Nothobranchius furzeri: one gene and its partner. Each later gene encodes a partner of the first gene's protein in a complex. Links are inferred from orthologs where the notes say so. Each region holds a gene or a part of one and is shown on either strand. Other genes may lie near its edges.

Region 1 (4,548 bases):
ATGAATCCCCAAATTAAAGGAATTTGCACTAATGAATTACTAATTTCAAATAATGAAAATGTTCTCACACCTTTCTCCACTGATCAGTGTCATTATTCTTCTTCACAGATACCTATTTGGAAAAAAAGAGAAAATTAAGTGAATAGTTTGTCTTAAAGAAAGGCAAAAGGCCTGAGCATAAGCACAGGTCTAGTGGTCACTTTAGCTTTTTTGAAAATCCTCAGAAGCTTACCTTGAGTTGCAGAGGGAGTGTGAAAATCGAGGCATGAGAGATGATGTATGCAGTTTATTTCACAGGAAGCGTATAGGTATTGCCTTAAATCCTCAGATTAAACCCCCAAATCATTGCCCAGACATCTTAAAGGAGGTCATTTACCAGCAGCAATGCAATGTGGAGAATTTCTGACAAAAATCTACATTTTTCTATCTTTCTGTTGCAAAAACCACAAGCCCATGTATTCTGAAGTTTCACCCTGTGCATCTCTTTCATTTATAAATACTATTAGATTTTATTTTCAGTTGTATTGCTTCTTTTTAGGGAATCCGGTAATGGTGGCAAAAGGTACTGAAACTTTATCTTTGCATATATTTAGAAAATAAAAACACAGACACACATATGCATACTTGTCTCTGTATCCATGTGTGGACCCTCCATTGACATCAGTTCATTTTTGGGACTCCACTATGCCTAATCCATACCCTACCAATGCTGTTTTATTCCTAATCCTAATCTAGACTAAAAGTTAATTCTCACCATAGCTCTAAAACCATGTTTAAGGGTATTTTGTCATTGTGTGGACTAGCCAAATGCCCCCACGCACGCACGCGCGCGCGCGCGCGCACACACACACACACACACACACACACACACACACACACACACACACACACACACACACACACACAGTGTTTTAGGCTTACCTTGTCGGACAGGAGCCCTTTCAACCTGAACGGCTGACCTGAGGATGCCATTATCACCACAATAAAAGCCTCTGAATGGCACAAAGTGAGCCTAAATCTTACTTAATTTCCAGACTACATACGCGAAAAAATAATTCACTGTTTTTGATACTACAGAGCAAAACTTGAGCTGAAAGGCTTGCTACCTTCGTGCTTCAAAGTGAAGAAATGTGGGTAATGATTGAAAACAACTGCCTAACCTCCCATAAATTCTGACCCTTTGAGCTACATATCCCAGTAGACTCAAGAGTGTCTTCGGTAACCGTGGCAACAGTGTTTGCCTCTGAAACTTGAGAAAACACATAAAACACCATACAAATGTCGGTAAGATAATACCTTTCAGGTATTTGTTACACGAACTTCTATGAAATAAACTAGAAGGTTGATTTATTTGGAAAATAAAAGCAGACGGGATAATCTTCCCTTTGAAAAATATGTTGGCGGGTTGGCGCCCTCCATTACGTCATATGTCCGCGACTTGTAGTTTCTCCCAAGACATGCGTTTTTAACGGTAAGCCCGATAAATGTGCTCCTGAATTAAGCAAATATAAAATAAAAACGCTAAACAACAAACGCGAATTTCCTTCTAACGACTCAGTGTCAATAAAAAAACTAGTTTGGCAAAAGTGACACTAAGCTAAACAGCTAGGTGGCTAGATCGCTTGTAACTTCTGGCAGCTCGGATATAGTTGTTTGTTTTGGAAATTTTCCTGGAGTTGTTATGGCTGGCAGCAGGATGCAGCTGGAGCTATCTCGGGTGGTTCATGGGACAGCTCGGTTGGGTGTACTGAAGGGTCTCGGGAGCACGGGGCAGCACTCGCTGGATGTTCCGTGCTGCTTGCTGTACACCCACTTTGGCACAGTCCCCCATCTCACCCAGGACACGCTTCACACCATCAGCTCCCTCCCTTTTGTCACCCAGGTCGCTCTGTCACATGTGTAAGTCCACACACACACACACACACACACACACACACACACACACACACACACACACACACACACACACACACACACACACACACACACACACACACACACACACACACACACACACACACACACACATAGCTCAATCTTATTTCTAATCTACATCTCTCCAGAGCAGAGCACCAAGATGTGCTGGAAGAGTTTAAAGATGGACTGAAGAAGTTTGCAGGTACAGTTGTGCACATTTCTCATCACTTTTCCCTAGTAAGAAGTATCAGTCTGCATGTGATCAATAAAAACACCAGAAAAGTCTATTGGATCTTTTAAATGATCAAATTACAGTTTTTTTTTTACAGACATTAGGACCCATTTCTCAATACTTAGGTCACATTTGCAAAACTCTACATCCAGTGTGCACAACAGAAGTCTATGTGGGCCAAACTGAGGATCAATTATCATTGCTTTGGCACAAAATGCATTGAGTGACTACATCTCTCAAATGTCATGAAGTCCTTTCTCACTCAGACACAACTGCCAAAACTCATTGTACTAACAGGACATTTTGCACTTGCTTACATACTGTTCACAAAACTGTAAAACTTATGTTCAAAACAATAACATACTGCAAAACTGAATATGACAGCAAAATCCAACAGCAATATGTTATTGAAACATAAATGCAGTTTAACCAGCCACAGCTGGAAGGGTTGTGCTAGGATGAAAGGGATGTGGGCAGACGGAATCAGCCAACATATATAATTGTATGGGACAATGTGGCATTTCACCACTCCCATGCAGTCACAGAGTGGTTTGTGGCCCATCCCAGAATGGAGTCACTTTTCCTCCCACCTTACTCTCCATTCCTCAACCCCTTAGAGGAATTCTTTGCCTCATGGCGGTGGAAGGTGTACGACCATCATCCACATGATCAAATGTCCCTTCTGGATGCAATGTACGCTGGATGCCTGGACATACCAGCAGTAGATTGCCAGGGATGGATCAGGCATGCCAGAAGATTCTTTCCTAGGTGTATTGCCCTAGATGACATAAGATGTGATGTGGATGAGAACCTGTGGCCAAATGGAGAAGACCGAGTAGATTAGCATATTGAATCTGTATCAGAGGATGTTGTGTTAACAAAGTCTTGTGTTTTGGAAGTACTTAGTGCAAAAACAAATACCATTAAAAATAAATGAACAACATGAAATATTGACTAATTCTGCATCATGTCTGATTCATTCCAGTAACATCTATTGGAAGTATGAACAGAGATGTGTCCTTGTTTTACACAAGAAAATGTAATGCTACACGTTGTTAGTGTTGTTTTAGGTCTTTGTTTTGTGGGTGACAAAGTGGGTTTGTCGGCTGTCAACCTTTGCTAGTGTTCTGGAGGAATGTGTTTATTTGAGACCTGCATGAAGTGTTTTGGTGGTTGTAGTGCATTTTGAATGTGAAATGAACTGTTTTGCCAAGCTGAAACTTAGTTAGAACTGTGTGAAGTGTCTAGCAAAAGTGACATTAGTAATGAGAAATGGGCCCTAACGTCTGTAAAAAAAACTGTAATGGGAGTGTCCTGGCCAGGAGGTTCAAAACATCAACAAATGACTGCAAACATACAGGAGATCTAACATTTACACAACATAATCACCTATAAACTATTAACATCACTAAAACATTACACTCTACTTATTAACCAATTACACAAGTCCGGGATAATATATTAATATGTTGTATCTAAACTGTTTTAACATTTGTTTTAAGGCATCTTAAACCAAAAACAGCAGGAACACATCTTTTCACTTATTCTTATTATAAGGTCCATAATTTGTGACTTATGGTAATGAATCAATAATGTGTAGATTTATATGATTTGTTCAAAATATGGGTCTATCAGGATCAAATGAATAAACTTCTTACAGCACTTCTAAATAAAACGCATTTGAATCTATTATAGGAATCTAATCTGCTTTTTAAACTAAAACAAAAGTGTTTCTGCTCCCAAGTCCCCGATTTAGCTTTGCTTTTACATGTAGTACTAAGCTCTACTCAGGGTTTTGCAGTGAAATTTCAAATTGTAAATGCAATAAATGTTGATTAATTTTGTAATGGATTACCAAAGTGTTGTCTCTAAAGCACCAGAAAGGAAGAGCAGTGATTTAAGGGCTGGAAATAATAATTAGGCTCTTTGTTTTCTCACCTTCTGATCTTTCAGCTGCAGCTGGGTTTGCTGATAAAGTTCATGTATCCTCTCTGTAGCATGCAGAAATAGGCATTCAGCTCTGGTAGCGTTCTTGGTGCTCATTTGGTACAGGCGTTGTTCTCAAGGTGTGAATTTTAATTCTCAGGGCTTCGTGATACAGCGTTGTTCTGCTCGCTTCACGACCCCGCAGCTCCGTGCCCGACGGGCTACACCACTAATAAGGTGAGACGAGGTTTCACGCTCTGCTCTGTGCATCATTGACATCTCTTGGGTGTTTGAGCTAAAGCTTGGACCACATCACAGAGGACAGCAAAAATAAAATTAATTAAATTTATATTTGTGTCATTAGACGGTGTCTGTGTGGGGCAGCGGTGGGCGGATCGACATGTCGGTGGCCAAGTTCATGGCTCTCCAAAAGGTGGTGCAACCAGACTGGTATCAAAGCATGGCGGACGGAG
Region 2 (4,361 bases), on another chromosome or scaffold:
GATAAGCTTCTGCAATGACATCAGTGTTGCACTGACGTGTCACCAAGACCTTGCTTTGATGATGGTAGAGTCTGACCGCTGTACAAAGCCTCCTCCAGCACATCCCAAAGATTCACAATGGGGTTAAGGTCTGGACTATGATGGGGCAAAATATAATGTGTTGGTAGGACTGGGAAACTTGTGGCCATATTGGCGACAGTCCCACTGAGCAGCCAGGCTTCCCGGTTCCGCTACCTCGCTGCAGCCAGAGCCAGAGACCTGCAGCGACGCTAGCCTCGCTGATCTCCAACTGCAGAGGAGGAGTGGAACATGGGCTTACGGGGCCTGAATCTGAATGTTGAGGTCTGAGGTGGTGCTCGTCACATGTGGAGTTATCTGAAGGTGACCACAGAAACTCTGCAGCTCGGTGAGTTCATGGGTTTGTGTGTGTTGTTAAAGAACTCCTTCAATAAAAAAAATTCCAAACAACAAATATGAAATGTATGAAGAACTTACCGCCGTGCGGGTTGGGAAGACGCAGTCAAACATATCACATCCCAAAGCAACACACACTACTAAATCCACAGCATACCTGCAGTATGGAAAGAAAAGACATGCTTCTGATTAATGTCATTATAGCAAACAAAACCCGTTTGCAAAAGGCATTTTTCTGCAAACATACCCAACACCCATCAAGTAACGAGGCTTTTCTCTTGGCAGGTAGTCAGTGCTCAGTGTGACCATCCGCCAGAAGTCATCCTTCTCTTCTCCTCCACTCAAGCCTCCAATGGCAAAACCAGGAACATCACGCTGAGTCATTTCTGCATTAAAAATATCGACATATCAACACACGCAATACTAAATTATGATCATGAGTTTTTGATCTTGCAAAAGTCCAGTTACACATTTGTGCGTTATCGTTTTGAACAGCACAGCCAAGGCATTAAAGTCTTTAGATTCATCCACTTGTCTTTTTTTCTGCACCAATTATCCTGCAACATGTTGATTTCCAACAGCTGGATTTTAGAGGCAAATGAACATTTATTTAAAGGGACTTTATGGAGTTTTGAATTGTTATGCTCGCGATTGCCCCCTCAGGCCAAAAGTGTAACGGCAGCTTCAATAGTAGGCTCGTGCACGAGGCGCGCATGCTGTACGTGCACACTCCTTAACGAAAATAACAGCTGAGACAGTCCCGTGTGTGTGTGTGTGGGTGGCCCGGAGGAAAGAGGGCAGGAGAACAGGCAGCTAATTAATTAAATAATTTGGTTCTGTATCTTTCTTTTCAGCACAGCCGACAAAGGTTGATGATGGGTCAGTCCTCCTGCATGCTCAGATCATTCCCTTCCCTTGCTTGAAAAATTGTTCCAAGATGAAAGTTGAACCCACATTTTTTTATCTGTGAATTCAATGCCGTTCGACGAGTCTCAAATAAAAATTTGGGTGTCTTACTGTAAAAAAATATACCATTAATGTAAAAAAAAGAAACTCTAAAAAATCTATTTTCTCACCCAGAATCGAACCTGGGTCTCTTGCGCTAGAGTCCGACGTCTAACTAGATGAGCTTAACCGCCACTGACGTCTTCGGTATCTGTAACATTTATATCCTTGATTACAGCTAAAACAACGCTCAAAGAACGGTTCGGAGCGAAAATGGCTATTTTGTTGCTAATTTGCATCACTAGGCGTTAGGAACAGAGACAAAGTCGCTGAGTTGGCACTACCTCTCTCTCTGCTGCTAAAGCTACGGATAGCAAATGCTACGGGCGATGCCTGAGCGTGAACGCGCATGAAGCAGCCTGCTCGACCCGAGCAGCTCTCTTTTTCTGTGATTTTACAGAAAAAACAGGCAATCACAGTAAAAATGCCAGGGCTCATTCTACAGGACCAGGGCGTTGCAGGAGAACGTATGAAGAAGACATTAATTATTTCTATACATGTTTTGGCTGTCAAACTTCCATAATGCCCCTTTAACTGGTTTGACGTCCACACTTCATCTTCTTATGTTACGTGCTTGTCAATGCTGAGACAGAAGAAAAGAGTAAAACCAGAGGAAGGATATAGTTTTTTTCCTCCTATTACCATTCAGGCAGGCCTTGCGCAGCTGTGCATCCAGTCCCCCCTGAATGATGGCAAAAAGGTTCTGTCTATCAGGATGTTTATTGGCTGCTATGCAGCGATCCAGCCAGCGAATGGATCTATGCATGGCTTCCTCGACCCGTGGTCCCTTCACTGTACTGCTGACAACATCATCCAGCTGCATCATGATGTCAGACCCTGAAAGAGGATGAGAAATGTTGCCTTTGAAGAACACATAAAACATATTACTAAATCAACATGATTCACTGTTTGCTCACCCAAACTGTTTTGTATGCTGATGGATTTCTCAGGACTTAACAAGATTTCTTTGCCATCATAGGGGGATTTAAATTTGACCCCTTCCTCTGTGACCTCTGAAAGTTCCACAAGAGACACCATCTGAAACCCTCCACTGTCCTTTAGGAGAGAGAGAGGGTATCCTTTACACTTTGACTGTCTATTACTCTGAGAATACAGCACCACGTAACTTCTGGTTTTCAGGAAATCTGTATTATTATACTTACAGTTAAGAGATTTCTCTTCCAGTTCATGAACCCATGTAAACCGTTAGCTCTCTCTATCAAATCAGGTCCCTTTAGAAAGTGGAAGCAACATAGCTATTAAGTGATCTGGCCATGTTTTAAACCCTACTGAATACGTCACAAGTTACCCACCGGCCTCATCCCAAGGTGGTATGTGTTTCCGAGACAAATTTGACATCCAAGGCTCTCCAGCTGGTCAGCAGTGATGCCCTTCAGTGTTCCCTGAGTGCCGACGGGCATAAAAACCGGCGTGCTGACTGTCCAGTGTGGCAGTGCTAAATCACAAGCTCTTGCTTTAGTCACTGGACACTCAGCAACAATTCTCAAAGCAAGAGGCGAAGCTGCAGTTACAGCTTTCTTCAAAGACATGAGGCTTTCTGATGTGTTTCTATCTACTCCACGTACCGTGGCGGCGGCCATGTTTCAATGGGCAGCAACTGACAGTCTGATCGACCAATTGGAATCGTAACGCAGCGTGACAAACACGCCTTTCACATTGTTATCCAATCAGAATATAATTTAGTGACGTGACAACAGAATTAGCAAATAAGCGACTTAGATTCTGACAGAGACAGAAGAGGCGGGTCTACAATTACCGGTTTCGATCGGATGTCGTCTCACCGGACCGGATGGCGTTTGTGTTGAGGAAGTTTTGTTTTGCGAGTTTTTCGTTCGTTTCGACTCGCTGGGGTTTTAGTTAACTTAGGAATACGACACTATGTTGCTCTGAACTGGCAGTGATTTATAGGAGCTCAGGATTTCAAAGTCGAATTAAATATTTGAGCTGCTTGAATCGGCTGAACTCAACACTTACGAGCAACCAGAGAGCACATCGCTGCTAAGCTAACATTAGCCTCCGGTTTTCGTTTAACTGAAGGGCTCTCCGAGCTAAACGAAGCCATGGGGAACCGGGGCATGGAAGAACTGATTCCCCTGATCAACAAGCTTCAAGATGCTTTCAGCTCAATTGGGCAGAGTTGCAATTTAGATCTTCCACAAATTGCCGTAGTCGGAGGACAGAGCGCTGGAAAAAGCTCTGTATTGGAAAACTTTGTTGGCAGGTAAGGGATAAAAATTCACAAGATTAGTTATTGGTTGTTTTACAATTTATGTGAAGTCATAAGTAGTATTTGAACACGTTATGAATACTTAAATATGATATTTGTCATAAAACTAAGTTCTAACGTCAAGTGCTTGAACCGTACGTGTCATTTACGCACTTTTCGTAAGTCATCTTGCACAGTAAAAAGGGGAATAATTATAAGAACTTTACTTTTCCACACCTACAGATTGGATTGAATTGGTAATATTTTGCAATTGGTCCAGGTATTTGTATTCTTTTCAGTTTACAAATACAATAGACACTCAAACTACCGGAAAACAACATTCGCATTTCCTGTTTTGTTTGTTTTCATAGCTGACTGCTGGAGTTCAACCTTATCCTATTGTTGATCGTTTTTGAATATTTTTTCCTTTGAGGTTTGGAAGTGTCAGCTTTATGGATAAATACAGGCGTTCATTAGATGTTGGTTTCTTTATTCTCAGAGGGTTTATGCGTGTTTTAATTTATTATTATAGTGTGACTTTCAACATTGAGCGCAGAAAGTTACGCCATCACAGTGAACTTGTTTTGTCACACATCTGCAACAGACACTACTTCCTATACTGTGTTCCCCATTCGGGCCAGTTTTGGTTAAAGCTTAGAGTTTAGGGAAATGGATTGTATTTGTACTCTTCTTTGTTTAAATGGTGAAGTCAGCT

What was found.
Region 2: the proteins of qtrt2 (region 1) and qtrt1 are in contact, whole or in part, in a crystal structure (PDB 7OVS), measured with the Mus musculus proteins. The link is inferred for Nothobranchius furzeri from reciprocal best matches to the Homo sapiens genes QTRT2 and QTRT1. Residues at the interface, in NP_001343258.1 of Mus musculus: Arg39, Thr40, Gly41, Ser42, Ala43, Pro44, His45, Leu46, Thr47, His48, Gln49, Thr50, Asn53, Glu70, His71, Glu73, Val74, Glu77, Tyr78, Phe85, Ile86, Gly87, Phe119, Gln342, Glu343, Phe345, Tyr355, Asn359, His360, Ala363; in NP_068688.2 of Mus musculus: Thr50, Thr53, Met54, Lys55, Gly56, Ile57, Thr58, Thr59, Glu60, Gln61, Ser64, Arg80, Pro81, Leu85, Lys88, Ala89, Phe95, Met96, Asn97, Ala307, Lys308, Phe310, Pro320, Thr324, His325, Ala328, Phe329, Ala332, Leu333, His335.

The regions. Positions count from the first base shown.
Region 1 is NC_091747.1:50,803,710-50,808,257, reverse strand, and holds the start of qtrt2 (queuine tRNA-ribosyltransferase accessory subunit 2), read left to right. Parts: upstream 1-1,681; coding exon 1,682-1,899; intron 1,900-2,063; coding exon 2,064-2,119; intron 2,120-4,235; coding exon 4,236-4,312; intron 4,313-4,439; coding exon 4,440-4,548. Other genes in the region: ccdc191 (coiled-coil domain-containing protein 191), read right to left, coding at 71-112, 922-972. UniProt on the Homo sapiens protein: Non-catalytic subunit of the queuine tRNA-ribosyltransferase (TGT) that catalyzes the base-exchange of a guanine (G) residue with queuine (Q) at position 34 (anticodon wobble position) in tRNAs with GU(N) anticodons (tRNA-Asp, -Asn, -His and -Tyr), resulting in the hypermodified nucleoside queuosine (7-(((4,5-cis-dihydroxy-2-cyclopenten-1-yl)amino)methyl)-7-deazaguanosine).
Region 2 is NC_091745.1:2,106,102-2,110,462, forward strand, and holds the start of qtrt1 (queuine tRNA-ribosyltransferase catalytic subunit 1), read right to left. Parts: upstream 3,039-4,361; 5' UTR 3,021-3,038; coding exon 2,733-3,020; intron 2,652-2,732; coding exon 2,583-2,651; intron 2,476-2,582; coding exon 2,337-2,475; intron 2,257-2,336; coding exon 2,062-2,256; intron 801-2,061; coding exon 662-800; intron 572-661; coding exon 496-571; intron 1-495. Other genes in the region: dnm2a (dynamin-2), read left to right, coding at 3,501-3,661.